7 linked regions of the Macaca mulatta genome follow. The protein of the gene in region 3 interacts with the protein of the main gene of each other region in a pairwise test. Links are inferred from orthologs where the notes say so. Each region holds a gene or a part of one and is shown on either strand. Other genes may lie near its edges. The genes, in order: SYF2, AMPD2, CCNDBP1, NANOS2, PIMREG, RPLP0 and PSMB10.

Region 1 (3,539 bases), on a different chromosome or scaffold from region 3:
GCCTGACCCTCCTCAAAGAAGGCAAAATGTATCTGGATTTATTTTCATGTTTTAGCTGACAGACTTCTTGTGTTACGGTTTTAGAATGAAGCTCGTAAATTAAATCACCAGGAAGTTGTGGAAGAAGATAAAAGACTAAAATTACCTGCAAATTGGGAAGCCAAAAAAGCTCGTTTGGAGTGGGAACTACAGGAAGAAGAAAAGAAAAAGGTTAGGAACTGTTTTATCTTCATAAGTGATTTAGTCAATCATTCTGTTGTATCAAGACACTACAACATGGTGGTTGAATACACTGGCTCTTAGGCCAAGCTGCCAGAATTGAAATTCTGGTTCTGTTCAGTACCGACTGTGACACTTGGGGTGAGTTTATTTGACTTCTCTGTACCTCTGTTTTCTCATCAATAAAACAGGAACTGTAACAATAATTATTTGAGTTCATTATGAATTCAGTGAGTTAATGCATGTAAAACATTTAAAACAAGGTCTGACACCTGATTAACACTCAATAAGTATCATGTGCTCACTTATATACCATAGTGTATTTCCAAATTTCCTTTAAATACTATTACAGTGGCCGGGTGCAGTAGCTCATGCCTGTAATCCCAGCACTTTGGGAGGCTGAGGCAGGCAGATCACTTGAGGTCAGGAATTTGAGACCAGCCTGGCCAACATGGCGAAACCCCATCTCTACTAAAAATACAAAAATTAGCCGGTCATGGAGGTATGTGCCTGTAGTCCCAGCTAGTTGGGAGGCTGAGACATGAGAATCCCTTGAACCTGGGAGGTGGAGGTTGCAGTGAGCTGAGATCACACCACTGAGCTCCAGCCTGGGTGACAGAGCCAGTGAAACTCCAACTAAAAAAAACTATTAAAATATTGGTTAATATTTATTGGATCTTTCTTGATGTAAAGTAGATGAAATTATTGCTTGTATCATAATTGTAGGTGTCAGCTTTTTTCTTCTTTTTAGGAATGTGCATCAAGAGGAGAAGACTATGAGAAAGTGAAGTTGCTGGAGATCAGTGCAGAAGATGCAGAAAAATGGGAGAGGAAAAAGAAGAGGAAAAACCCTGATCTGGGATTTTCAGGTCAGATTGACCTTTATTGAACTTTATTGACTGGGCTGTTAGTCATTTCCTTCATTGTTTCTGGTTTCAAGAAAGGATGTGCCTCTTGTGCTTCATGGGATATTCTTGATGAGGCCTAAAGACCAAGAAAAGTACAAATACGTCTCTTAGGACAGAAGTTAAAAAAAAGGCTGTGCTTCAGTTAGCCGGATTTTTAAATACTTGATGGTAAAATTTATCAAAGTCTGTTTGTCAGCATCTTCAGGATAGAAGCTATGCTTAGAATAGTGTTTTGGGCATATATTACTTCACACAGATTGAGTGTCCCTTGTCTGAAAATCTGAAATCCAAAATGTTGCAAAATCCAAAACTGTTTGAGTGCCAACATGATGCTGTGATGCTCAAAGGAGATGCTGATTGGAGCATTTCAGATTTTGAGTTTAAGTATAATGCAGATATTCCAAAATCTGAAAAAAATCGGAAACACTTCCGATTCCAAGCATTTTGGATAAACGATACTTACCTATGATAATTTAGATTTTTCTCTCAATAGGAAGGTCCAAACAAGGAAATATATTATCTCAGATTCTGATTTTATATTTTTAGATTATGCTGCTGCCCAGTTACGCCAGTATCATCGGTTGACCAAGCAGATCAAACCTGACATGGAAACATATGAGAGACTGAGAGAAAAACAGTGAGTCCTTTTTCATCCTGAGCTGATGTGGATATATTTGTGTGTTTGTGTGTGTGTATGTATATAAATAGAAACATACTTTAATGCTAAGGTATGGGTTATTAATAGCTGTCTAAGGGTGGTCTCTGTTTTTTCTGGATTTTTTTTTTTCCTTTGAGACGGAGTCTTGCTGTCTTGCCCACGCTGGAGTGCACTGAATGGTGCAGTCTCAACTCACTGCAACCTCTGCCTCCTGGGTTCAAGTGATTTTCCTGCCTCAGCCTCCCGAGTAGCTGGGATTACAGGTGCCCACCACCATGCCCAACTAATTTTTATATTTTTAGCTGAGATGGGGTTTCACCATGTTGGCCAGGCTGGTCTTGAACTCCTGACCTCAAGTTATCCGTCCACCTCGGCCTCCCAAAGTGCTGGGATTACAGGTGTGAGCTACTGTGCCTGGCCCTTCCTTGCCTGGCCCTTCTGGTTTTTTTATTTTATTTTATTTTTTAAAGAGACAGTGTCTCGCTCTGTTGCCTAAGCTGGAGTGCATTGACACCATCCATCATAATTCATTGTAACCTCAAACTTCGGCCTCAAGGGAGCCTCCCACATCAGCCTCCCCAGTAGCTAGGATTACAGGCATGTGCCACAATTCCTGGCTAATTAATTTTTTTGTAGAGACGGGATCTCACTGTGTTGCTCAGGCTGTCTCAAATTCCTGGCCTCAAGTGATCCTCTCTCTTTGGCCTCCCACAGGGTTGAGATTACAGGTGTGAGCCACTGTGCCAGGCCTAGTCTCTGTTTTGACAGCACTGTTTATTGCTTGCTTCACAGCAATTAATCACCTGTTTTTTGTTTTTTGTTTTTTTCTTAACTGGGCATTCTAAGACTGGTTGTTGATTGGTTAACACTCTGATTGTTGTAGTTACTGAGATATTTTAGGAGGCATAATGCTTTAGTGCTGGGGTTGGTAAACTTTTTCTGTGAAGGACCAGATAGTAAATATTTTCAGCTTTGTGAGCCATATAATCTCTGTCACAGCTACTCAGCTGTGCTGCTGCAGTGCAAAAGCGGCTGCAGAGGATTCATAAATGAATCCTCTTTTCATAAACAGGTGGTGGGCTGCTGTAGTTTGGCAGTTTGCTTTAGTGGAAAAGGAAATAACCTCAGGATGGAGCTCTAATCCCACCTCTGTCCCTAGCACTTTGTGACATCTGATAAGTCCTGGAGCCTCTCTGCCTGTTGGCTCTTTGATCTGTAGAGTGAAGGTGTTGGAGGAGTTGATGACTTAGGTTCCTTTCAATTCTGTAATTTTTTATTTTTTATTTTTTATTTTTTTTTTTTTGAGACAGAGTCTTGCTCTGTCACCCAGGCTGGAGTGCAGTGGCACAATCTCGTCTCACTGCATGCTCCACCTCTTGGGTTCAAGTGATTCTCCTGCCAAGTAGCTGGGATTACAGGTGCCCACCAGCATGCCTGGCTAATTTTTTTATATTTTTAGTAGAGATGGGGTTTCACCATATTGGCCAGGCTGGTCTCGAACTCGTGACCTCAGGTGATGTGCCCACCTTAGCCTCCCAAAGTGCCTGGATTACTGGTATAAGCCACTGCACATGGCCCTATTTTTTTTTTTTTGAGATGGAGTTTTGCACTGTTGCCCAGGCTGGAGTGCAGTGGTGTGATCTCGGCTCACTGCAGCCTCAGCCTCCCAGGTTCAAGCAATTCTCCTGTCTCAGCCTCCCAAGTAGCTGGGATTACAGGCACCTGCCACCACACCCAGCTAATTTTTGTATTTT
Region 2 (4,079 bases), on a different chromosome or scaffold from region 3:
ATTATATCAGTGTTCAAGGCCACCAGTAATGTGTGTGCACACGTACGTGTGTGTGTGTCTCCCATCTCACTAACTATACCCTTGCCACCTGCATTAGTGTTTGTTTTTTTGTTTTTTAGTCTTTGCTATTTTGATAGGTAAACCTGGTTATCTCTGTTCTCTTTTTAGTTCTATGGATTCTGTGTGAGGTGAAGAGGCCAAGTTTTTTTAAGTTTGTTCAGGGAACAGTAGACAGGGATCAATGGAAGTGGCACCAGATGCAGGTGGAGCACAGGGTTCAAAGTCCAGAATCCAGCGTGGGGAGAGAAGAGGCAGGCAGAGTTTGGGAAGGAACTCTGCTGTGGGGGTGGTGAGAACTGGGAGGAGCCAGACAAACAGCATTAGAACAACTGGGTTTGGGGGGCAAAGGCCTCCCACAAGAGGGAAAATAGGGAAGAGATTAATTCCTGCTAATGCATTTAATTATATTCAGTGAAGTCTTAGGGACTTCCCTCCACAAGTTCCCTTTAGGTCGGATTTTCTACCCCTTGGCAGTGGGGATGCTTGTTGGATAGGATGTCTGCAGACCCCAGAACGGCTGTAAGTGAATCAACCTGTGAGTGTCAATAGAGAACCAAGGCCAAGGCTAAAGCAATGGTAATAATAAAAAAGTGCTAACTACAGGCCAGGCACAGTTCTAAGCAGTTAACTTACATTAACTCATTCATCTTAACCACCATATAAAGCAGGTACTCTTACACTCATTTTACGGAAGAAACAGAAGCACAGAGAAGTTAGGTAACTTGTCCAGTATCAGGAAGTAGGTGAAATCTGGATTTGAACGCAGACATTCTGGCTAGAGTTAAAGCTCTTAACCACCAAATACAGAAATGTGGGAAGGGGAGCCAGAATTGCAGGGCACAGCCTCCTACCTATGCCGGCCGGAAGAAAACAGACGACCAGGTGAGATTGCAGGGGCAGGACTTCTGCTTAAAATGAATCCTGGGACGATAACAACAGCTACCTTTCATTGGGCCCTGACTTCGTGCCAGGCACTAGGTAAAGGGACTTTACGTTTAATCTTCACAGTAACCCCTTTGAGTGAGGTACTGTCATTACCCCATCTTACGGATGAGGAAGCTGACGCACGAAACTGCCCCAAGATCAAGGGTCAGCTCAGGCCAGCCCTACCGCGGTGTGGCGGCTGCCCACGTGGCGCCCAGGAAGAGAAAAAAATGGCGAGGCGGGGTCGGCAGGCGGAGGCGGGGCCAGGCGGGGGCGGGGCCAAGGGCCGCAGAGCCTGGCGCGGAGCCGGCGAGATTTTCGTGGGGTCGCACCTGTTGCGTGACTCCCCCACAGTCCGGCCGCGGGAGTCCGACCCTGAATGCCCAGGGAGTGTTGCGAGAAACCTGGACGAGTTCCGGGTCCCGCTCCCTTGGGAGCACGTGGCCTACCCGTCTCTCGATTGCGATTGCGGGGTTGGGTGGTCGCGACACCGGGGTCGCCTTGAGGCCAGTCTGGCTGCCGAGATCTGCGGGAGTCCACCTCCGGCCAGCTGGCAATTTTGAAAGACTGCCTTACTTTCCCCATCTCAGTGCCAGGGCAGGGGCCCTTGGAGTGACTTGGCCGGAGTCTGGGGCCCGACCACCCTGCCCTCTCTCAGGACCCGGGCTTTCTGCTGTGCAGACCCTCGTGGGCAGCCTCCCCTCGGAACTCGGACACCATGGCTTCAGGTGAGTGTGTGTACGTGTGTTGGAGGGAGGGTCTCTGGGACAGAGAAGTGCTGTGGCCAGGGTGACAAGAGGGTGGGAGTCACAGCACAGCGGCAGGACGTAGGGAAGGCGGTCAGCTCTTCCTACGAGGGCCTGGGGAGCAGAGCCAGAGTGTGCAGAGCCAGAGGAAAAATCCGAAGAGGCTAGGGTCTCTGTCCCAGACCCCCAGACAAGGGGGTCTCCTGGCCTTCCTGCCTTCCTAGGAGGTAGCTATTTGGCGACGGTGGAATTTTCCCAAGACAGGCCCCTCCCTCCTGGGCTGGGATTCTCGGTTCTTCCCCCTCCTCCCAGAGCTGAGCTACCCCCGGAGCTGAGGGTCAGATGTGGAAGGAAAGTGGGTGCTGGGTTTTCACGGAGTATGCCAGCCCTGCCCCGGGAGGACTGTGTTTGAGCTTGGACTCACTCGCTGCTGAATTCCTATTTGTTATTCTTTTTTCTTCCAGACTAGCTGGAAGGACCAGCTAGCCTGGACTTTGGCTTCTTTGCCCTGGAGCCCTGGCATAATGGGGTGAGGGCTCTTGGTGGGTTAGTGGAGAGCTGGGGGCTGGCCCTTCCCCATCTTCTTTTCTACCCACTCCCTCCCCCGCCCCCCGCCAAGCCCAGCCACCATCAGTCACGTCACTCCTGGGACTGAGGAGGGAGGGGAGGGATAGGGGGCAGAGATGGAGGCCCCACTCCCCGAGGTTGCCTAGACAACATGAGAAATCGTGGCCGGGGCCTCTTCCGCCTGCGGAGCCGCTGCTTCCTGCATCAGTCACTCCCGCTGGGGGCGGGGCGGAGGAAGGGGTTGGATGTGGCAGAGCCAGGCCCCAGCCGGTGCCGCTCAGACTCCCCCGCTGTCGCCGCCGTGGTCCCAGCCATGGCATCCTATCCATCTGGCTCTGGCAAGCCCAAGGCCAAATATCCCTTTAAGAAGCGGGCCAGCCTGCAGGCCTCCACTGCAGCTCCAGGTGAGTGTGTGCTTCCTGGCCTCAGGATAGATGCTGGGCTCTGTCTTGCCACCTCTCGCCCAAGCTGCTGGTCCCCTCAGAGGAGGCCACCTCCTCTGGCATCCTCTCTGTGGTGGTGCCTCTTAACCTCAGTCCCAGGGACAGCCGGCTTGGAAGGTGGGGTGAGGGGTGGCCGGGGGTGGGGGTGGATCTGAGATATCTGTGCCAGGGATGCTGTCCTCTGTCACAAGGAGTGGGCATGGTGTGGGTGCAGCAAGAGGTGTGTGTGCACACGTGTCAGCGTGTGCATGTGCTAAGACTGCATGTGGAGCATGTGTGAATGGAGTGGGGGTGTGTGGGACTGTTTTGTGGACTGGCCACTCTGACTGGTGCCTGTGCCTTTACCAGGCAGGCTCAGGCTGTTCTGTGACTAGTTCCACTTTTTAGGACCCCACATCTAGATCCCCCTCACTGGGGGTCTGACATCTGGGCACAACCATTGTTGGCTGGCATCCCACAACTGGGGGCTTGACTGTATCTATCGTTTGCTATTTGCTCGTTCCTTGTCTATGTCATGAGCCTCCTTAGGAGTATGGGGCGTCCTTGGTCAGGTCCGTGCAGGCTTCAGACTGGGGCTGCTGCCCGCACTGCGTGTGCTCCTGCACCCTTTGGTTCGTCTCTCACTCTAGTAAGCATCTCTGCATCATTTGGAGCAGGCAGCGAGGTGCAGCAGCGCCTGTCTCAGTGAGGGCTTGGCTGCCTGGCTCTGTGCTTGCAGAGGGCTGTCTGCCTGCTGTCTGCTCCCAGGCCTTGTGGCTAAGGAAAGACCCACCCTGACTTTGATGACCAGATCATGCTGACTGCCCCCCACCCTTGCAGCTGTCTGTAGCCATAGCCCTACTATCAACCTCCTATATTTTCTTGTTTCATTGAAGATGCCTAGTGCTAGGTCTGTACTGCCCTGAGGGTGTTCTCTGTGCCCAGGTCTGTGCCATCCAGAAAGGGTGTCCCCTGGGTGGGGCCCTCCCTGGCCCTGTTTGGTTCAGCAATAGGGCAACTGATACGGATCTAGCCCAGAACTGGATACCCTTCAGTGGTCAGATGGTAAGAGCATCTGACACTTGTGGGGTCAAAGCCGTGGACACCCCTGTGCCTACTGAGGCAGTCCTGGCAGTGTGTGAGGGGCTCCTGGTCGAGAGGGGAGATGGGGTGCTCAGAATCTCAGAGTTGGTGGGAGTGGCTCTGGAGCGGCCCACTCTGGCTTTTGCTTGACTTCTCTGTAAGTGTGGGTGTATGTGTGTGGTGCTGGCCCCTAGAGAAAGGACCAGTAGGCAGCTGAGTCTTCTAGGCCTGGCCTCTGAGAACGTAGAGGTTACTGCCTGTGTGTCACCTTCAGTGA
Region 3 (4,245 bases):
GGGGTTGTTGTATGTGTGTGTATACATTTACTCAGTTCAATTCCAGCTTAACACCACTGGGTATTAACTGTGTATATGATACTGTACTACAAGTTGGGACTTCAACATAAATTAAATGATACCCGCCTCTAAGATGAATAAAAGGACATGGGCAAATACACAACTAGCCACAAGTCAGCTGTTGTGTTATAAGCAACTGTGCTTGAAGTAAATTAGCTAACCCCAAGACAGAAAGCAGCATATTCTTAGGATCCACTAATGATGCATTATTAAGACCAAACTCTTCCAAGGACTTGGGAGTAAGCTATGGCTCTGTTCTTTTCCAGCTGGCATTTTTTAACATCCCCTTGATGGCTTACATGTGTTGGAGCTTGCTGCAGCGGTGCTTTGGTCACAACTTCAGGTCTCATCTCCATCAAAGAAAATACTTGAAAATTATGCCTGTTCACCTACTTATGCTACTGCTGTACATCTGGCAGATTTATTCCTGCTACTTTCTTTATGCGACATACGGCACCCTAGCTTTTTTATTCTCCCCTTTGCGGACCTGGTTGACACTGCTGACACCTGTTCTCATTCGTTGTGTGTGGACACTGAACTCCGCCAAGCTTGGAATCTTCATGGTGCAGTTAAAAAGCCACCTGAGCTCCTGAAGGCCATGTCTCACCACTGGCAGCTGGGCAGAAGCCCAGCCTCTGTGTCTGTAGCCTAGGCCTCTACCCCAGTAGCAGGTGGAGGGCCAGTATTGGTGCGTGAGCTTTAGGGAGCTGCTGCTCGTTTGGACTCCTGGATGTTGGAGGGATTACCCACTACTGATACCTGCAGAATGGACTGCAGAAAAGTCTCAAAAATAATGCCTTTATTCCTTCCCTCCTCAAGGAGGCAAAGAGTTGATTTATCTTTGTGAAGAGAAAACCCTTATCTAGGACACCCACAGGGTAGGGGTTGGGTGTGTGTACGGGAGTGTCAGAGGCCCAGTGTGTTTTTTAGGGGTTACCCCATGTAAAGCACCTACCGCTGTGCTTGAAATTCAGCAGCTGTCAAAGGTGCAATTTCAAGGGCAGGGAACCTTTGAGGATCTGGGCCCGACCCTGACCACGGCTGAGATATTAGTTCCCAGGCCTGTTTTCCCGCAGGATTGTGGGCTCTCTGCTTCCTTAGTCGGAAGTGTTTTCAACTAATCAAATAAATGAATGAATGATGAATAAGAAAGACCGTGAGCCTGAGCCTTGCTCGTGTGGCCTCGCTTAAGGGGCGAGAGAAGGCGTGGCTTGTCCTGGCCTCTGGGATGGTTGGTGCTGGACCTCTGGGGACAGGGCGGGGCGGGAGGAGGCGGGGCCAGGCCTGGTCTCTCATAATGGGATGGGTGGTGCTGGACCTCTGGGGGCGGGGCCGGGCCTCTGGGGCGGGGCTGGACGGCTTGTTGCCGGAAACGAGCCATTGACGCTGTGGCCCGGAAGTGGAGCGGCTGTCGCAGTGCGGCTCCGGCAGTGGTGGCGGAGGCCTGTGTTTGCGGCCTTCGGCAAGCGACTGAGATGGCGAGCGCAACTGCACCTGCAGCCGCAGCCCCCACCCTGGCTCCACCTTTGCAGCAGCTCCGGCACTTGGCGGAGGAGCTGCGGTTGCTCCTGCCTCGAGTGCGGGGTGAGCTGACGGAGTTGGAACGCGCGACGGCAGGGGCGGGCTCGGGGAGAGGCCGGGATCGGGGAGAGGCCGGGCTCGGGGTCGCGGAGAGGGCGGGCTGGGGCGGCGGCGGCGGGGAGCCAGGCTCGGGCGAGGGAGGTAGGTCCGCTTACCTTAGCTTTTCCACTCGCCACCATTCGGCCCCCACACGCCACACCCGCAAGTCGGCGAAGCCCAGGAGACCACCGAGGAGTTTAATCGAGAGATGTTCTGGAGAAGACTCAGTGAGTGCGCCTCCTGTCCCGGCTCCCCTTGCCTCAGTTCCTTCAGCGTCCCGACCCCTTTCCCTCTCGCTCTCCCCCAGGGAGGGGACTGCCCTCCCCTGCTGCATCCTTTCTGTGAGATACCTTACCCACCTCAGCACCTGAGAGGGTAAACTAGAATTCTAACATCGACATTCGGGAGGTGTTTTTGAGAAGTCTGGGTCGGTAAGGGAACGCGTATCTTCCAAGTCCGTGCAGCGCTAATGTATTGGCACCTGCCTTCTCTTCGGCCACCCCCCAGATGAGGCAGCTGTGACAGTGTCAAGGGAAGCCACGACTCTGACCACAGTCTTCTCTCAGCTTCCACTGCCGTCTCCACAGGTGGGCTTCACTTTCCTGGAATCCTTGGGCTGCCGAGTTACACCTTAGGAATCCTCTAATTTTCTTTCCACCTTTTACACGCATGCCAGGAGATTTGTTTTCTTCGTCTGTCCAATGAGGTTACCGTTTTTTACTTCACAGGCTTGTTGTGAAGACCGAACTGCCAAGTGCATTTCCTGGCGCGGAGTAGGCAGGTCTTATAAATATTGGTTCAATCTGAAGTTCACCCTGGTGGTTTCTTTTCTGATAATTTTTTAAGCACTTTTTATGTGCTGGGTGTTTTCACATACTTGATGGCCATCTGACAGATGAGCAAGCAGGCTCAGAAGCTCAGGTTAAGATTTAAAAAAAAAGCAGGGGAGCTAGAATTTAAATCAAGGTCTATCTGATGTCTAAGGTACACCTATTCTGTTATACTACATAATACCCTTTTTATATTATTTTTTATATTTAATCAGTAACCTATGCAGATAGTATAAAATTCAAAAGATATCAAAGTTAAGTGTGTTAAGTTTATCCTTCCATCCACTTTCTCATTTTTGTCTCCCCCAGTTCCTTTTGCATTATTCCACATACATTCTGTACATATATACATTCATAAACATTTATCTTGTATGTGTCAGCTTCTTTTTACACAAATGGTAAGATACCATAAACACTGTTCTGGACCTTCCTTTAAATAAATTAACAATAGAGCTTAGAAATCAACTCTTAGCAGCTAGTATAAAGTTGTTCCGTTCTTTGTAATGACTGCATGGTATTCAATAGACTAGATATAAACATAATTTAACCATACTCTATGTGGACATTTAAGCTGTTTCCAACTTAGAATTACTGCAAACAGTGTTGTGATGAATTACGTAATTCTGTGTATGTATGTATATCAGTAGAAAAAATTCCCAGAAGTGGAATTGCTAGAACAAAGAATTTATGCGTTTTAAATATTCCTTTATTATTAAACTAATGAAAGTAAACATGTTGGCTGTGACCACGTATGCTCTATGCTTAGTTTTTTCTAGAGCTGTGTATCCTTAATATGGGAGTAAGATTCCTTTAAAATGGCATATTCATTGCCTTATTTGATTTTCATAGTCAATAGTTTTAATTTCTCAGTCTACATATATAGGTGTTTGGAAAGAATATAGGTATCTTCTGCTGCATGTACCTACAGTGATAAACTCTCTCCTCCTCACATACCTTTGAGATTTTTTTTTTTTTTTTTTTTTTTTGAGGCAAAGTCTCACTCTGTCACTCAGGCTGAAGTGCAGTGGCACAGTCTCGGCTCACCGCATCCTCTGCCTATGCGGTTCGAGCAGTCCTCCTGCCTCAGCCTCTCGAGTAGCTGGAATTACAGGCACCCGCCACCATGCCTGGCTAATTTTTGTATTTTTAGTTGAGACGGGGTTTCACCGTGTTGGGCAGGCTAGTCTCGAACTCCTGACCTCAAGTGATCTGCCTACCTTGACCTCCCAAAGTGTAGGGATTACAGGCATGAGCCACCGTGCCTGGCCTACCTTTGAGATTTGTGATGAGGAAACAAGAGATGAATTGTATGACGGCACTTTAAAAGATTCATGGAAAATAGACTATTTCAAAAAGAATAGTTAATATTATCTTATTTTTCTTATCTGCTAACCCCTTTCTTTCAAATACACTTAGGACTTGCTGCTAAAACTCACTGCAAGTAAGATACCACAAGGAGGCAGCATAGAACTGATTTTCTATACATGCTCAGGACAGTAGTTTTACTCATAGATGAAAAATTAGAATTTGGATTTATTTGAAATATATACAAATATTCAAGTATATACATATATTCAAATAAATACATATATGTATATATGTGTGTATATATACACATACATACACATGAATCATCATTGCCTTCTTGAGATCTCACCACTTTAGTCCTACTAAAAGATGGGTGGGTTTTTTTTTGTTTTTTTAAAATTCCAATCTTCATGGAATGATACTTTAA
Region 4 (3,333 bases), on a different chromosome or scaffold from region 3:
GAGACAGGGTCCACTCTGTAGCCCAGGCTGGAGTGCAATGGCACAATCATGGCTCACTGAAGCCTCAACCTCCTGGGCTCAAGTGATCCTCCTGCCTCAGCCTCCTCACTAGCTGGGATTACAGGCACATGCCACCATGCCCAGCTGATTTTTTATTATGTGTAGAGACAGGGTCTCACTATGTTACCCAGGCTGGTCTCAAACTCCTGGCTTCAAGTGATTCTCTAGCCTCAGCCTCCCAAAGTATTAGGATTACAGGCGTGAGCCAGCATGCCCAGCCCAAGAGGGGGCATTCTAAGTGAAATCGTCTTGTGCCAAGGTCCTCTGCCACTTCTAACCTCAATTCCCAGTTCCCAGAGTGAGTATGAAACCCGACTCTGCCATTTCCCTGCTGTGTGACCTTGGATACATTCCTTAACCTCTCCAAGCTTCATATCTTTCTCTGTAAAATGAAAATAATAGTCCTGGCGCAGTGGCTCACGCCTGTAATCCCATCGCTTTGGGAGGCAGAGACAAGTGGATCACCTGAGGTCAGGAGTTCCAGACCAGCCTGGCCAATATGGTGAAACCCAGTCTCTACTAAAAATACAAAAAAATTAGCCGGGCTTGGTGGTGGGCGCCTGTAATCCCAGTTACTCAGGAGGCTGAGGCAGAAGAATCGCTTGAAGTTGCAGTGAGCAGAGATCACGCCATTGCACTCCAGCCTGGGCGACATAGCGAGACACTGTCTCAAGTAAATAAATAAAATAAATCAGGTCATGTTGTTATTATTATTTTTGTCTGTTTATTTTTGTAGAGACAAGGTCTCGCTATTTTGCCCACGCTGGTCTAGAGGTCTTGGGCTCAAGCGATCCTCCTGCCTCGGCCTCCCAAAGTGCCCGGAGTGCAGGTGTGAGGCACCGCACCCAGCCTGGTTGCTATGATGATCAGCAGTAACTCTGAAGTCTAGGAAGGGTGTAGCCCCTCCAGCCTAGGGGTGGGGGATATTTGCAGACATGGGCTTTCTTTGAACAGATAGGGAAACTGAGGCACAGAGCATGGAACTGTCTTCCCAGAGGACACAGAGCACCTTGGCAGCAGAGCAGGGGCCAGAGACCAGGGGAATGATCTCCTTCCAGATCTCTGTGAAGAATTAAAGTCAGATGGGGGTTATGGGCAGGGAGTGGGCCCTTTAAATCCTAAGCTCCACCTTTGCTTAGAAGAGTCTCTGGGCATTATAAAAGGGGGTGCAGCTCCCTTCTGCTCTGGGAAACGCCTGCTGCCCTTGCCTACGGGCCCCCAGCCCCAGCCCCTCTCCAGTGGCCCACCACCCCTGTTTTGGTGCCATGCAGCTGCCACCCTTTGACATGTGGAAGGACTATTTCAACCTGAGCCAAGTGGTGTGGGCGCTGATCGCGAATCGGGGGCAAAGGCTGGAGACCCAAGAGACTGAGGAGCCAAGTCCTGGGCCCCCGTTGGGGCAGGATCAGGGGCTGGGAGGGTCAGGGGCCAACGGGGGCCTGGGCACCCTGTGCAACTTCTGCAAGCACAACGGGGAGTCCCGCCACGTCTACTCCTCACACCAGCTGAAGACACCAGACGGCGTGGTGGTGTGTCCCATCCTGAGGCACTACGTGTGTCCCGTGTGCGGTGCCACCGGTGACCAGGCCCACACGCTCAAGTACTGCCCGCTCAACGGTGGCCAGCAGTCCCTCTACCGCCGCAGCGGGCGCAACTCGGCCGGACGCAGGGTCAAGCGCTGAGGACCGTGAGATGTCCACCACCCGCACCCCTGACCCTCCTGGTCTGTCCCACCCAAGTCCCTAAACTCTCTCCTCCAGTCACCCAGCCCTTTGGAATTTCTGGCCCCCAGAACTCCACCTTGGCTGGATCCTGAAACAGTGGAGACTCCTGGGAGCCAGGCCAGCCCCGCCCCCTTGGACCTGTCAGCTCTGGGAGCTCTGGCCTGTGGGCGTCCCAGGGTCCTTGGTGCGCCGGGAACCCTTCCTGCATGGCCTTGTAGCGCCCTCTGGGCCCCGGTTCATGGATCTTTTGTTCTCGTGGGGCCTGCTGGTGACAGGAGCCCTGCCCCTTCAACTTCTCCGTTCCTTGTGGAGTTCTTGGATTTTTGAACCTCCAGGATTCCACGGTGCTGTCCCAAGCCAGCCCTTAGGAGACACTGAAGAAGGCTGGCTGAGAAGTGCCAACCCGAGAACTTCAAGATGGGATGTCCACTTAACACCAGCCTTCTCCACCTTCACCTTTCTGTAGAACCACGGTGTCATCGTGGACCACACCGGTTCATTCCTTCCCTGACCTCAGCACCCACCCGTCAGGAGCTGAGTGGGACGCTGGAGAGCACCGTGTCACTGGAGGGCACGGTGTCTTCATAGGCTCACCCGCGGATGGAGAGTCATGGGGTGAGCTGACACCTTTCAATGCCCCCTGGTTGTTCTTCCCCTTGTTCAGCCCAGTGCACTCGGCGCGTGCCCCCATCCCCAAATCACCGATGGGTCCTTTTTCCCAGCAAGAAGCACATCTTTCCACTACCTCCCATCCGACCCCCCAAATCGTGATAGTTGACTAAAGAATTTTTTTTTTCCTCCTGTATTTTTCATCCTCCAACTTTTAAGTCGAGGAACCGCCGATAAGACAGGGGTTTGAGTACCCGGATGGGAAAGGCAACGGCCTAGCTTTTATTTTAGGGGCAAAGAAAAGAAGGACCCCAGTCAGATTTTAAGTTGTTCAGTTTTTGGCACAGGGCTGGGACCCTGAGTATTGAGCTCTGGTGAATAAAAAGGTTTTTCAGTCGTCTTTGAAATGGTTGTATCTGTTTCCGTCTTTGGTTTGTCTGTGAGACAAGCTCTTGCTCTGTCGCCCAGGCTGGAGTGCAGTGGTGCGATCTCGGCTCCCTGCCCGGGTTCAAGTGATTATCCTCCCTCAGCCCCTCCAGTAGCTGGGACTACAGGTGCGCCCCACGAGGCCTGACTAACTTTTTTTTTTTTTTTTTTTTTGATACGGAGTTTTGCTCTTGTCACCCAGGCTGGAGTGCAATGACGCAATCTCGGCTCACTGCAACTTCCACCTCTCGGGTTCAAGCGATTCTCCTGCTTCAGCCTCCCGAGTAGCCGGGAATAAAGACATGCATCACCACACCCGGCCATTTTTGTATTTTTAGTAGAGACGGGGCGACCGAGTAGCCGGGACTACAGGTGCGCACCACCACACCCAGGTAATTTTTATTTTTGGTTTTTGTTTTTTCTTTATTGAGGTGGAGTTTCGTTCTTGTTGCCCAGGCTGGAGCGCCAACGGTGCAGTCTTGGCTCACTGCATCCTCCAGTTCCCGGGTTCAAG
Region 5 (4,193 bases), on a different chromosome or scaffold from region 3:
GCCTCCCAAAGTACTGGGATTATAGGCGTGAGCCACGGTGCCCGGCCTCACTTTTGGTTGTGTCTGTGCTAACTTTTCCATTTGCCTGTTCCAGAGAATCCAGGAGTCCTGCCAAAGTGGCACCAGGTGGCTGGTGGAGACGCACGTGAAGGCCAGGAGGCGGAAGAGAGGAGCACAGACGGGCAGTGGATCCCCAGCTCACAGCCTGAGCCAGAAGAGCACTCGGCTGTCTGGAGCCGCCCCTGCCCACTCAGCCACAGAGCCCCGGGAGAAGGAGCGTCACCACCTCTCTGCCCGGATGGGCTCACGTGCCCACCCATCACGGCGGTCAAGGCGGGAGGCTGCCTTCCGGAGCCCCTACTCCTCAACAGAGCCCCTCTGCTCTCCCAGGCAAGTGGGATAGTGCCTCACCCCGGCACTGGTGACCTTTTAGCCTGGGCACAGTCCCTGCTCTCTGACCTCCCAGACACCAGCTGGGCCCCAGGGGCTTCTTGGCACCTCCTGTGGCTACCTGGAGCCAGGGGTACCCTGAGCAGCGTCATATCATGTTATAATTATTCTTACTGTTAAATGTGTGTCCTGCTTTAGCAGATATCCAGTGCGTGTATTTGTTCATTAGAAAATGAGAAAACTGGCCGGGCACGGTGGCTCACACCTGTAATCCCAGCACTTCGGGAGGCTGAGACGGGTGGATCCCCTGAGGTCAGGAGTTGGAGACCAGCCTGGCCAACATGGTGAAACCTCATCTCTACTAAAAATACAAAATTGGCTGGGCGTGGTGGTACACGCCTCTAATCCCAGCTCCTTGGGAGGTTGAGGCAGGAGAATCGCTTGAACTCAGGGGGTGGAGGTTGCAGTGAGCCGAGATCGCGCCACTGCACTCCATCCTGGGTGACACAGCGAGACTCTGTCTCAAAAAAAAAAAAAAAAAAAAAAGAGAGAAAACAAAACAACAACTAGATTCCTAAGGATTGTATTTCAACTTTCTGGCTGAGTTCTAGGGGGAAATGGAGTGTGTTAGTTAAGGCTGCATAGTAGCTTTGGGCTGTTGAATTTTTCCCCAAATTTCTTTGAGGGCTAGCATCTTTCTTTAGTCTCATAGGAACCTTGAGCTGTAATTAAGGTAGGCTCTGTTTGTCCCGTTTGACAGGTAATGAAACGGAGGTCCGGAGGCTTTTGGTGATTAGCACGAGGGCCATCCCGTAGGAAACAGAGGAGTAAAGGCTGGGGTCCAGATCATCTGGATATTCTGCCCCACTGATCAAGCTGGCCTGCCCTGCAGAATCTTCTAGTTCTCAGACAGGCCCAGCAAGTGGCCTGGCTCAGGGGAGAGAGTGAAGCTCATCCCAGTCCACAGTTCCTCGCAGCTTCCTATTCCCATCTCGGGGCTCTCAGGGAAGGCTGCCTAGCGGCTGCCCGTCTATTGTGGCAGGTGGTCACCAGGATGCATGTAAGTGACCAGGTGGCTCTTTGCAAACCTGGAAGCTAAAATAAGGCTTGTGTACACTTCAAAAATACTCTCCACATCTGTGTTCTGACCTGGTTCCGCCCCCAGAGCTAGCAGAGGACCTGAGAAAATCCTTCAGGACCTTAGTTTCTCTGTAAAGGAAGAGCTGAGCTTAGCTCTGATACAATCCCACTCACCCAAGCCTCCTAGTGAGCCCACAAGCAAGTTTTGAAGCCTCCTGGAGGGCTGAGGCTCAGTTTCCAAGTGGGGACACTGCAAAATCACTTGCCCATGACCTTGGCCTTGTGGATCTTGATCTTCTCTCTGTTTGTTGCTCTGAGGTCACTTCCTGGAGTGAGGGTCTGGAGTGAAGCCCAGCCCACCAGGGTCATCTGGGCCCACAGACCAGACCCCGGTACTGGGTTGCAAGGGGCTCCTGCCAGGAGTTTCTAGCTAGTCACTGGTGTGGCTTTTTCTTTCATTCAGCGAGTCTGACAGTGACCCAGAGCCTGTGGGGGCGGGAATTCAGCATCTCCAGAAGCTGTCCCAAGAGCTAGAGGAAGCCATCATGGCGGAAGAGAGGTGAGTTGGCATTCCATACTTCAAAGTGAAGTGGCCGGCAGGGCCCCTCCGGCCATCTTTGTAGGCAGGCGCTGGTTCTGCGCTGACCTGCTGTGTGACCCTGGCCAGTCTTTGCCCCTCTCTGGGCCTCAGTCTCCCTCATCTCAAACATGAGAAGAGACAAAAACCTGGACTGGGTTGATGGTAAAGAATGCAGCCTGAATGTGTGTGGTCTTCTGGGCCTTGGGCCCCCACGTTTGTCCATCATTTGGAACCTCACACGTGGCTGGTTCCTGAAAAGCCTGCCCTTCCTCCAGAACTGTCCGTGGCTCCTCTGTGCCCTGCCTGCCTGTGGAATAGGGAAAAGCAACCTGACTGCTATGGAGCTCCTGGTCTCTCTGCTCATGGCCCCATCCTAGGCGCAGGGCCTCGGTTGTGGATCTCCCCTAACTTGGGGCTATTTCTCCATTCCACTTGTATAATGGCCATGATGGGCTCTAAGGCTGAGCCCTGCCAGCTCTATGTGTTGGGGGGCCATATTCCTACCATGTTTCCGGGTCTGATCTTGTCTAGCTCAGGCTGAGAGGGGCCCACTCAGAGCCCACCACACCCAGTGGCATCAATCCCTCCCCTTCTCTCTAGTGGTGACATCATCTCTCTCATTCATGACTGAGGAAGTGCCTGCAGGTAATGCCCACCTCCCAAGCGTCTTTCTCACTGTCCTCCTCCTCCACCTCATGCATGAGCAAGTTAAAGAAAAACCCACAGAGCTGATGGGCACAGCAGAGTAGGTAGGACCCGCTTGCTGCTTGGAGCCAGAGCTGCTAACCTCACAGACCCCATCATTAACAGCATGCCGGGGGCCCCGAGTAGCTACAGCCACCTTCCAGCAGCCCCCACCCCACAGTGAGCAGGGAAAGGTATCCCTACTTCTCCGACCTTGAGCACAGTGACAAAGGCAGCTGTCTTGCAGGAAACAAGCCCTGTCTGACCGCCAAGTCTTCGTACTCAAGGATGTCTATGCTTCCCCGTGAGCTTCCCGGAGGAAACCCCCAGGAGTTGTCAGTACCCCCGGGCCACTGCTAACAAGCACCTAACAAGGGGCCCAGAGCCCCCTGCTCCGGCCACATCTGGACCCATCAGTGACTGCCTGCCATAGCCTGAGAGTGTCTTGGGGAGACCTTGCAGAGGGGGAGAATTGTTCCTTCTGCTTTCCCAGGGGACTCTTGAGCTTAGAAACTCATCGTACACTCGACCTTGAGCCTTCTATTTGCCTCGTCTATAACGTGAAGTGCTAGCCTCAGATGTTTGAGAGCTCTTAGCTGTGTACCCAGGTGTCTGGTTTTTGGGGAGTCATCCACAGAGTCACTCACCCACCGTGTTTCTGGTGCCAAGGCTCTTGGGGGCCCCACTGTCATCCCTGCTTTCCCTACCAGGGACTCAGAGGAAGGCATAGGAGATATTTCCAGGTTTCCGACCCTGGGCTCACGGGTTCTATTTATACACTCAAGGCGGAGTACTGTGGGTGTGCCGGGAGGGGTAGCCCTGTTCAAAAGCAATTTCTGCCCTTTGTAAATTATTTAAGAAACCTGCTTTGTCGTTGTATAAGAAACCAGCGTGTGACTTTCCTAGATAACACTGCTTTCTCATAATAAAGACTGTTTGCATTTGACATCTGTTCCGTTTCACCGGCCACCTCCAACCTTCCCCGTCCTCCCACACCACTCCGGGCCATAGATCTGTCATTTGTGGTCTCATTTGTGGCCCTCATCCACCTCTGCTCTGAGCCAGTCTGCCCCCAAAACCCATCCCAGGGAGAACATGTATAAAGGGAAAGGCTTCTCAGCTTAGTTCGGACGCAAACACACCGTAAAGGCAAATAAGGTTTTTATTTAAGTGACAACATTTGAGAGCTAAAAACCAGCTCACATCAAAATCAAGACCAGTTGTAAAAATCTTTTAACTCCATAACGCTGTTTTTGTCTTGTTAGAAATCTGATATCTTACATTAGCGTTTCTAACGGATTTTGTACAAGGCAGCCATAAGGAATATAATAAACCTTTTTCACCACAGAGCCGTCTGTCACAGATAATACTGAAAGTTACACACTTAGGAACAGTCAGACCACAGACAGGGTCAGACTGGCTGCCACCGCCAAGTAAACAAATAGAAAAGGACAGCGGG
Region 6 (4,005 bases), on a different chromosome or scaffold from region 3:
CCCAAGTTAAGCCTGCTCTGGAAAAGCAGCAGAGCATCATCGGGTGGAAAGCAAGTAAGTCAGGAGGAAAACATCTGAGATGATCAGAGTGGGCGTGAGGGGCAGATAGGTAGGGCCTTGTAGGTAGTTTAGATTTTAGGTTTTTACTCTGGAGGAAATGGAAAGTTTTGAGCAGATAAGGAGATGAGCTGACTTAGGTTTTTGTTTGTTTGTTTGTTTGTTTTTGAGACGGAGTCTCTGTCACGCAGGCTGGAGTGTAATGGTGCGATCTCAGCTCACTGCAGAGCTCACAGCTCCTGAGTTCAAGCAATTCTCCTGCCTCAGCCTCCTGAGCAGCTGGGATTACAGGCGTGCGCCACCCCCCCGGCTAATTTTTGTATTTTTAGTAGAGACGGGGTTTCGCCATGTTGGTCAGGTTGGTCTCGAACTCCTGACCTCCGATGATCCACCTGCCTCGTCCTTCCCAAGTGCTGGGAATATAGGCGTGAGCCACCGCGCCCGGCCAGATTTTAAAGATCCCTCTGTTTTGGTAGGAGGAAAAACAAACTAGAGAAGACAAGAGATCATTCGGTTTCTAAGCATGTGCAATTACGTCTCAGCTTCATCTCATGCCTTTCAGTTTGCCGAGCTCGCCAGGTGGCAGAGGGAACTGGAGACTCCGAATTCGCAGCTCCAGCTCCAGCCCCGCAGGTGGCAGCAGCTCAGAGCAAGCTCCTCCAACGCGAGGCAGCGCCTTCCTTCACTACCCTACTTTAAGGCGGCTTTCCGTTGGTTCGAGTGGCAGCGACATTATCCAATGGTTGCCTGTGTTCGTTCAGCTTTGTCGGACGGGCGATGGCTCCAGCCAATAGACAGGAGCGCTATCCGCGGTTTCTGATTGGCTATTTTGTTCGCATATAAAACGCACGCACGGGCGCGAGGCCCTTCTCTCGCCAGGCGTCCTCGTGGAAGGTTGGTGCGCTGGCCAGATCGGCGTCTGGGGCGTCAGCGGGAAGCATGGAGGGGTCATTGGGGGATTTTGGGAACGTGGAGTCCTATCCTGTTCCGCCTGGGGCCTCGGTGGCGGCTTGCACGCCCCGAGATGGCGGCGGCTGCCCTAGGCAGAGCCGGCGGGCGCTTGCGCGTGTCTTGCTCCTCGTAGGCCCAGGACCGGGGAATGGGTGTCGGGGTGACCAGGCTTGAGCTCCCTCTCTCTCCTCAGTGACATCGTCTTTAAACCCTGCGTGGCAATCCCTGACGCACCGCCGTGATGCCCAGGGAAGACAGGGCGACCTGGAAGTCCAACTACTTCCTTAAGATCATCGTAAGTGCAGGGTGGGTCGCCTCTGCCCTTCATGTTGCCCCAGCGCAAATAGGGACAGTCAGCTGCCATGTGCTGAGGGTCTATTCAGTACCGGTTACTGAATTAGGCCATTTTCGGGAAAATCCTGTTTAGTTAACAATTTCCTGAGATAGGTCCCTTCTGTTGCAGATAAACAGGCTCAGGCAAGTTAAGTGGCTCCTAAGATGACAGCATTCATATCCAGGTCTGTCTGGCTTCCAAAAGAGCGCACGTTATACCTTTTTTGTTTTTTTTTTTTTAACGGAGTCTCGATGTGTTGTCCAGGCTGGAGTGCAGTGGCTTGATCTTGGCTCACTGTAACCTCCGCCTCCCAGGTTCAAGCGATTCTCCTGCTTCAGCCTCCCAAGTAGCTGGGATGACAGGGGCGCGCCACCACACCCAGCTAATTTTTGTATTTTCAGTAGAGACGGGGATTCACCACGTTGGCCAGGATGGTCTCGATCTCTTGATCCTCATGGTCTGCCCGCCTCGGCCTCCCTAAGTGCTAGGAGTGAGCCACTGCGCCCAGCCGCACATTCTACTTTTACTGTATCTTTGAGAAGGTCTGAGGCCAGTAGTGACTCATTGTAAGGAAGCAAGTTGTTGCATATTTAGGACCTGTCAGTCAAGAAACTTAAGTGTCCAGTGACTTGGATGGCCTTTGAGGTGGGTCTTCCTTGCCCAGAAACGCTGACTGTACTGCGCTTAAGCAATTAGGCAGCATTGTAGAGCATAGCTTGTATTACGTTTTCCCACACTTAAAAGGTTTTCAGACACAAAACTCGAAAGAATTGTACAACAATCAGGATATACACGTCTAGATTCTTTTTACAAGTAATAACGTTGCTTAACGTTGTGCTTTGAATGCTGTGAGTCTAGCCCTCTTGACCAGCTTATTTGGAACATTCCTTTTTTTATCCTGATAACCATTTTAGTGAATCGGAAACCTCCCTCGTAATTGGGAAAAATGAAAAAAAAAAAACTAAGTAAAAAAGGAAAGGCCGGGCGCGGTGGCTCAAGCCTGTAATCCCAGCACTTTGGGAGGCCGAGACGGGCGGATCACGAGGTCAGGAGATCGAGACCATCCTGGCTAACACAGTGAAACCCTGTCTTTACTAAAAAAGACAAAAAAACTAGCCGGGCGAAGTGGCGGGCGCCTGTAGTCCCAGCTGCACTCCAGCCTGGGGGACAGAGCGAGACTCCATCTCCAAAAAAAAAAAAAAAATTAAAGGAAAAACTCCTTGATAGAATGTAGAAACCTGATTTTCAGCATTCATATCCAGCAAACCAGTCATCCAGTTTGGCAGTGTTACAACGTAGCTCCCACTCTCCCTCTGACTTCAAAAGCTTAGAAGAAAGGGAGTGAGAAGGAAACAAATTGTGGGGTTCAGTTTCTCCTGGCATTTTTTTCCCTCTTTCTTCCTGTTAAACTTGGCTCCTCTGACTTGTTTTTTGTAGCAACTATTGGATGATTATCCGAAATGTTTCATCGTGGGAGCGGACAATGTGGGCTCCAAGCAGATGCAGCAGATCCGCATGTCCCTTCGAGGGAAGGCCGTGGTGCTGATGGGCAAGAACACCATGATGCGCAAGGCCATCCGAGGGCACCTGGAAAACAACCCAGCTCTGGAGAAGTCAGTTCCACTGGCAGTTTTGTCCTCCCTCCCCAGTGCCCGTCTCCCTCTTCCTGGAGAATGGTGCTGAAAGGTGATTTTCTCCTGTAAACTTCTCTTTGCAGACTGCTGCCTCATATCCGGGGGAATGTGGGCTTTGTGTTCACCAAGGAGGATCTCACTGAGATCAGGGACATGTTGCTGGCCAATAAGGTAAGGGGACAATTGAGTTGGCTAAAGAGATTTTGTAGTTGCTTCTTAAAGCAAAATGGACCATTCTCAGGTTGTATGAGTGGAGAGGCTTTTCTCACTGTTTGTTGTCTTTGTCAGGTGCCAGCTGCTGCCCGTGCTGGTGCCATTGCTCCATGTGAAGTCACTGTGCCAGCCCAGAACACTGGACTCGGGCCCGAGAAGACCTCCTTTTTCCAGGCTTTAGGTATCACCACTAAAATCTCCAGGGGCACCATTGAAATCCTGGTGAGTGGACCTGGTTTGCCTGTGCTAATCAGGCAAATGGGGGGCTGCTTTTAGTGGCCATGGGTCTGTTGGTTGTCCAGGTGTTTACTGCCCCACTGTTACCTTGTTCAGAGTGATGTGCAGCTGATCAAGACTGGAGACAAAGTGGGAGCCAGCGAAGCCACGCTGCTGAACATGCTCAACATCTCCCCCTTCTCCTTTGGGCTGGTCATCCAGCAGGTGTTTGACAATGGCAGCATCTACAATCCTGAAGTGCTTGACATCACAGAGGAAACTCTGCATTCTCGCTTCCTGGAGGTACATGCTCTCAGCCTTGCCCCCTCTTACACTGATGGTTGAGAGCATGACAGGGGTCAGACTGAGTCCCTGTAACCAAGGACTGTGTTTTCATCTGTCTACCTGCCTCATCTGTAAAATGTCAATAACAACATAAGATTGTTGAAGGATTTAATGAATTAATGGATGTAAAGTCTTAGAACAGTGCTGGGCTGTTATTCTAGGGCCAGGAATAAGACTGTCAAATTTTGCCATCAAAATGCCCTTTAAGAGGCGGAGGTTGTGGTGAGCCGACATGGTGCCACTGCACTCCAGCCT
Region 7 (4,169 bases), on a different chromosome or scaffold from region 3:
ACTGCACTCCAGCCTGGGCGACAGAGCAAGACTCTGTCTCAAAAAAAAAAAAAAAAAAAAAGTAAAATAGGCCAGGCACAACCAACCATGGTGGTTCATGGTTGTAAGCCAAGCACTTTGGGAGGCTGAGGAGGGTGGATCACCTGAGCTCAGGAGTTCAAGACCAGCCTGGGCAACATGGTGAAACCCCATCTCCACCAAAAAAAACAAAAAACAAAAAATTAGCCAGGCATGGTGGTATGTGCCTGTGATCCCAGCTATTCAGGAGGCTGAGGTGGAAGAGTGCTTGTGCCTGGGAGGCAGAGGTTCCAGTGAAATGAGATCGCACCACTGTACTCCAGCCTGGGCAACAGAGTAAGACCCCGTCTCAAAAAAAAAAAAAAAAGTAAACCCTTTGGCAGCTGCGTGCTGCTCTTAGGCTCAAACCTAAGTCTTTTTTTTTCCCCCTTTTGAGATGGGGTCTGTTGCCCAGGCTGGAGTGCAATGGCATGATCCGTACTCACTGCAGCCTCGAACTCCCGGGCTTCCAAAGTGCTGGGATTACAGGTGTGAGCCACCAGGCCCAGATTGCTGAAGGGTTTAAACCAGAGAAAGAGTGTGACCAGATTTCCAATTCAGAAAGACCCGCTCTCTGCAGGGTAAGGTGTAGCCTGAGGTAGGGGGCAAGAATCGCAAGGTAATCAGGGAGGCCAGTGCAATGTCCAGGTGGGAGAGGTTGCTAGCTGAGACGAGAAGTGCTAGGAGAAAGATGTGTGCAGATAAGAGGTCACTGGGGAGGTGAAATAACAAGGCTTGGCCGTGAGTGGAACCCAGCACCCATGGTGCCCCTCTTGAGAGGGGGAAGATGTCACCTGAGATGGAAGATGGAAAGACCAGGGTCCCTGTGGCTGAGGACTGAGCCTGTGTTTGAGGTTTCACAGAGGAGTGAAGGCAACACAAGAGGCAAGAGTTGGAAGAAAGGTGACAAGGAACAAAAGTCAGCCATGCCTGATGCTACTGGGTGGCCAGCAACAATGCAGACTTGGCCAAGGCTCTGAGAGCTTTATTATGCTGGGACTGGAGGTCAGAGTTGAGGCTAGGGTAAGAGCAGGGGGCTCAGATGGAGGGGGAGGAGGACCTGAACAATGTCCAGAAGGGAAGAGATTTGAATCTCTATCCAACAGAGGACCCTGTGAGCAGCACAGAGGGCACAGCAAGGGACATCCCCCAGTTCTCCAAATGCTCAGAGCCACAAGTGAAGCCGAAAGTGAAAGACAAGATGCAGAAAACCGCCACGGGCCTTTGAAGGGTAAAGGCGAAAGCGAAAGCAGGAAGGACAGACGTCGAGCCTAGCAGAGGACTTTTTAGTTCCTCACTGGCCCCACTTGTCTGACCGACTCATCCACCCGCGACCCCTAATCCGCTCTGCCTGCCCCAAGATGCTGAAGCCAGCCTTGGAGCCCCGAGGGGGCTTCTCCTTCGAGAACTGCCAAAGGTGAAGCGGGGGCTGGGGAGGGGACGATCAATCCTGAGTCACCTCTGCTTGGTCGTGGCCTTTTTTCCTGGCTGGGGGTGGGAGAGGGTGTGTTGGGCGACTTGGGTTCCAGGCTTACCCCGGAAGATGAGGGAGACGGGGACCAGGTTAGGGGAAGCAACAGGGGTACTGGAAGCAGAGCCGAAACCTGGGCGCTCTTCTCCGTTTCCAGAAATGCATCCTTGGAACGCGTCCTCCCGGGGCTCAAGGTCCCTCATGCACGCAAGACAGGGACAACCATCGCGGGCCTTGTGTTCCAAGTGAGCAGCGGGGAAGGACAGGGGAGCTGGAGGGGAGCCGGGAGTATCGAGCAGGCACTGAGGCTGCGGTCCCTCCCTCTCCTCAGGACGGAGTCATTCTCGGCGCCGACACGCGAGCCACTAACGATTCGGTCGTGGCGGACAAGAGCTGTGAGAAGATCCACTTCATCGCCCCCAAAATCTAGTGAGACTCACCAGCCCAGTTCCCTCACGCAAAAGAGAACGGCCCCCTCGTTCCCACTCCGGTCCCGGCACGTGCCAGCCCTGCCCACACCGATCCTCCCTTTTCCCTCAGCTGCTGTGGGGCTGGAGTAGCCGCTGACGCCGAGATGACCACAAGGATGGTGGCGTCCAAGATGGAGCTACACGCGCTATCCACGGGCCGAGAGGCCCGCGTGGCCACGGTCACTCGCGTCCTGTGCCAGACGCTCTTCCGGTGCGGGGGCGGGGCTAACAGGATCCCCGGAGGGGTCGTTGCCGGCACGGGCCGATGGAAGGCGGGACAGAAAGGGGGGCGGGGCCGCGACGGGCCAGGTGACCGGAAGAGGCCAGCCCAAGAGAAGCTGGGCTATCGGAAAAGGCTATGTCAGTCATCGGGCGCCACATCACAGGAAGGGGCGGGGATAGTACCTAAGGGCGGAGGCATAGAGGGGCGGGGCCTAGGCCCCTGCCTGTGACCGACCCCGCCCATCCTCGAGCAGGTACCGGGGCCACGTGGGTGCATCGCTGATCGTGGGCGGCGTAGACCTGACTGGACCGCAGCTCTACAGCGTGCATCCCCATGGCTCCTACAGCCGTCTGCCCTTCACAGCCCTGGGTGAGCACTTCTGTCCCTTCTCCTCGAACCCTGCCCCTGTGACCTTGGCCTCACGGTTGTACTCCAAACTGGGTGGCAGCGGTTGACTTCAGATGGTTCTCCTGCCTTTAGGCTCTGGCCAGGGCGAGGCCCTGGCGGTACTAGAAGACCGGTTCCAGCCGAACATGACGGTGAGCGGCCTCTGTCCCCGACTATGTGGTCGCTGGTGGGATGTGCACCCGGGAGCTGGGGGAGCACAGGACCCTAGCCCGGTGTGGAGGTGGGGGAAGGCTTGGAGGTGGTGACCACTGAAGGGTGAGTGGAGTAAGGGCAGAGAAGTGCGGTCCTGGCACAACACCGTCCAATACCAAAGCCTGGACGGTTGGGAGAAGTCGAAGCTCACAGAGGATCTTTTGGAGCCGAGGGCAGAGGGAAGGACCAGTAGGGTCACACTTATATCAACGTCTGGAGCCTACATTTTGTTTGGGGTGGGATGGAAGCAGGTGATATTGCCTCAGAGGTGGCTAAGGCTCAGAGGGAGAAACACAGTGGGGGTTTGGGGTGCAAGACCAGATTGGGTGAGTGGACAGGCAAGTCCCCAGGCTATAGCCTAAGTTAACAGCAGAGGGCCCGTCAGGCCTCACACACTCATCACCGCAGCTAGAGGCCGCTCAGGGGCTGCTGGTGGAAGCCATCACCGCCGGAATCTTGGGTGACCTGGGCTCCGGGGGCAATGTGGACGCATGTGTGATCACGAAGACTGGCGCCAAGCTGCTGCGGACACTGAGCTCACCCACAGAGCCCGTGAAGAGGTGAGTGCTGGCGATGGGGTACCACAGGGATGTGTGGGGCTGCAGCAGGGGAGATGGAGGGCTGCAAGAAGGGGATGGGCCACATGACAGGCCCATGTTCAGAGGCCGTCCCTCCTCTCTCCCAGGTCTGGCCGCTACCACTTTGTGCCTGGAACCACAGCTGTCCTGACCCAAACCGTGAAGCCACTAACCCTGGAGCTAGTGGAGGAAACTGTGCAGGCTATGGAGGTGGAGTAAAATAGGTTGAGGCTTAGAGCTTGGAACAAGGGGGAATAAACCCAGAAAATACAGTTAAACAGATGGCTGTGTCATTCTTGAGTGGAGTAGGGTGGGCAGGCAGCCAGCAGGGCTCTGTAGCTAAGGCGTCCCTGCAGGGACCATTACTTCCCATAGCTCTAGTGTCTGGCCTAACAGATGCTCTTCACCCATTACCTCAGGCACCTACAGCTCCAGAACCCCAGCCCTGGCCAGCATTGCAGGCTTGATCTCCATCCAAACCTTCCTTCTGACTCCACACCTTGGAGGCTCCCCCATCACTCCACTGCCTTGCTCTTGGCCCTCTAGTCCACTGGAGACTTGTAAAACACAAAAGACCCCATGACCCCTCCTAGGGACTTTCCATGGCTCCTCAGTGGCCCAGGACAAAGCTCATACCTTTCAGTAAGGCCTCACTGAGGGCTAAAGTGCTGACAAGAGGAGCCACTCCCTGACTCCAAGGCAAGTTCTCACCAAGCACTTCTCAACCTCACAACATCTTTACCGGTAACACCCCTCAGATGGCGAGGCAT

What was found.
Region 1: the proteins of CCNDBP1 (region 3) and SYF2 interact in binary tests that used the Homo sapiens proteins (3 or more experiments, as listed by UniProt). The link is inferred for Macaca mulatta from reciprocal best matches to the Homo sapiens genes CCNDBP1 and SYF2.
Region 2: the proteins of CCNDBP1 (region 3) and AMPD2 interact in binary tests that used the Homo sapiens proteins (3 or more experiments, as listed by UniProt). The two-hybrid records come from large-scale screens. The link is inferred for Macaca mulatta from reciprocal best matches to the Homo sapiens genes CCNDBP1 and AMPD2.
Region 4: the proteins of CCNDBP1 (region 3) and NANOS2 interact in binary tests that used the Homo sapiens proteins (3 or more experiments, as listed by UniProt). The two-hybrid records come from large-scale screens. The link is inferred for Macaca mulatta from reciprocal best matches to the Homo sapiens genes CCNDBP1 and NANOS2.
Region 5: the proteins of CCNDBP1 (region 3) and PIMREG interact in binary tests that used the Homo sapiens proteins (3 or more experiments, as listed by UniProt). The two-hybrid records come from large-scale screens. The link is inferred for Macaca mulatta from reciprocal best matches to the Homo sapiens genes CCNDBP1 and PIMREG.
Region 6: the proteins of CCNDBP1 (region 3) and RPLP0 interact in binary tests that used the Homo sapiens proteins (3 or more experiments, as listed by UniProt). The link is inferred for Macaca mulatta from reciprocal best matches to the Homo sapiens genes CCNDBP1 and RPLP0.
Region 7: the proteins of CCNDBP1 (region 3) and PSMB10 interact in binary tests that used the Homo sapiens proteins (3 or more experiments, as listed by UniProt). The two-hybrid records come from large-scale screens. The link is inferred for Macaca mulatta from reciprocal best matches to the Homo sapiens genes CCNDBP1 and PSMB10.

Annotation. Positions count from the first base shown.
Region 1 is NC_133406.1:215,734,731-215,738,269, forward strand, and holds part of SYF2 (pre-mRNA-splicing factor SYF2), read left to right. Parts: intron 1-84; coding exon 85-210; intron 211-970; coding exon 971-1,088; intron 1,089-1,673; coding exon 1,674-1,764; intron 1,765-3,539. UniProt on the Homo sapiens protein: Involved in pre-mRNA splicing as component of the spliceosome.
Region 2 is NC_133406.1:130,582,437-130,586,515, reverse strand, and holds the start of AMPD2 (AMP deaminase 2), read left to right. Parts: upstream 1-1,265; 5' UTR 1,266-1,702; coding exon of another isoform or gene 1,703-1,712; intron 1,713-2,194; 5' UTR 2,195-2,448; coding exon 2,449-2,701; intron 2,702-4,079. UniProt on the Homo sapiens protein: AMP deaminase plays a critical role in energy metabolism. Catalyzes the deamination of AMP to IMP and plays an important role in the purine nucleotide cycle.
Region 3 is NC_133412.1:20,576,737-20,580,981, forward strand, and holds the start of CCNDBP1 (cyclin-D1-binding protein 1), read left to right. Parts: upstream 1-1,439; 5' UTR 1,440-1,535; coding exon 1,536-1,644; intron 1,645-1,847; coding exon 1,848-1,907; intron 1,908-2,187; coding exon 2,188-2,267; intron 2,268-4,245. Other genes in the region: TMEM62 (transmembrane protein 62), read left to right, coding at 327-653. UniProt on the Homo sapiens protein: May negatively regulate cell cycle progression. May act at least in part via inhibition of the cyclin-D1/CDK4 complex, thereby preventing phosphorylation of RB1 and blocking E2F-dependent transcription.
Region 4 is NC_133424.1:58,468,114-58,471,446, reverse strand, and holds NANOS2 (nanos homolog 2), read left to right. Parts: upstream 1-1,246; 5' UTR 1,247-1,325; coding exon 1,326-1,742; 3' UTR 1,743-2,803; downstream 2,804-3,333. UniProt on the Homo sapiens protein: Plays a key role in the sexual differentiation of germ cells by promoting the male fate but suppressing the female fate. Represses the female fate pathways by suppressing meiosis, which in turn results in the promotion of the male fate.
Region 5 is NC_133421.1:7,929,549-7,933,741, forward strand, and holds the end of PIMREG (protein PIMREG), read left to right. Parts: intron 1-94; coding exon 95-390; intron 391-1,933; coding exon 1,934-2,029; intron 2,030-2,650; coding exon of another isoform or gene 2,651-2,681; exon of another isoform or gene 2,682-2,695; intron 2,696-2,981; coding exon 2,982-3,042; 3' UTR 3,043-3,680; downstream 3,681-4,193. UniProt on the Homo sapiens protein: During mitosis, may play a role in the control of metaphase-to-anaphase transition.
Region 6 is NC_133416.1:127,495,502-127,499,506, reverse strand, and holds the start of RPLP0 (large ribosomal subunit protein uL10), read left to right. Parts: upstream 1-1,201; 5' UTR 1,202-1,249; coding exon 1,250-1,303; intron 1,304-1,557; exon of another isoform or gene 1,558-1,763; intron 1,764-2,392; exon of another isoform or gene 2,393-2,779; coding exon 2,780-2,955; intron 2,956-3,059; coding exon 3,060-3,147; intron 3,148-3,264; coding exon 3,265-3,411; intron 3,412-3,522; coding exon 3,523-3,708; intron 3,709-4,005.
Region 7 is NC_133425.1:63,512,707-63,516,875, reverse strand, and holds the start of PSMB10 (proteasome subunit beta type-10), read left to right. Parts: upstream 1-1,345; 5' UTR 1,346-1,418; coding exon 1,419-1,474; intron 1,475-1,685; coding exon 1,686-1,773; intron 1,774-1,859; coding exon 1,860-1,957; intron 1,958-2,068; coding exon 2,069-2,209; intron 2,210-2,474; coding exon 2,475-2,590; intron 2,591-2,701; coding exon 2,702-2,760; intron 2,761-3,229; coding exon 3,230-3,381; intron 3,382-3,506; coding exon 3,507-3,609; coding exon of another isoform or gene 3,610-3,618; exon of another isoform or gene 3,619-3,681; intron 3,682-3,818; coding exon of another isoform or gene 3,819-3,866; exon of another isoform or gene 3,867-3,992; coding exon of another isoform or gene 3,993-4,091; exon of another isoform or gene 4,092-4,169. UniProt on the Homo sapiens protein: The proteasome is a multicatalytic proteinase complex which is characterized by its ability to cleave peptides with Arg, Phe, Tyr, Leu, and Glu adjacent to the leaving group at neutral or slightly basic pH.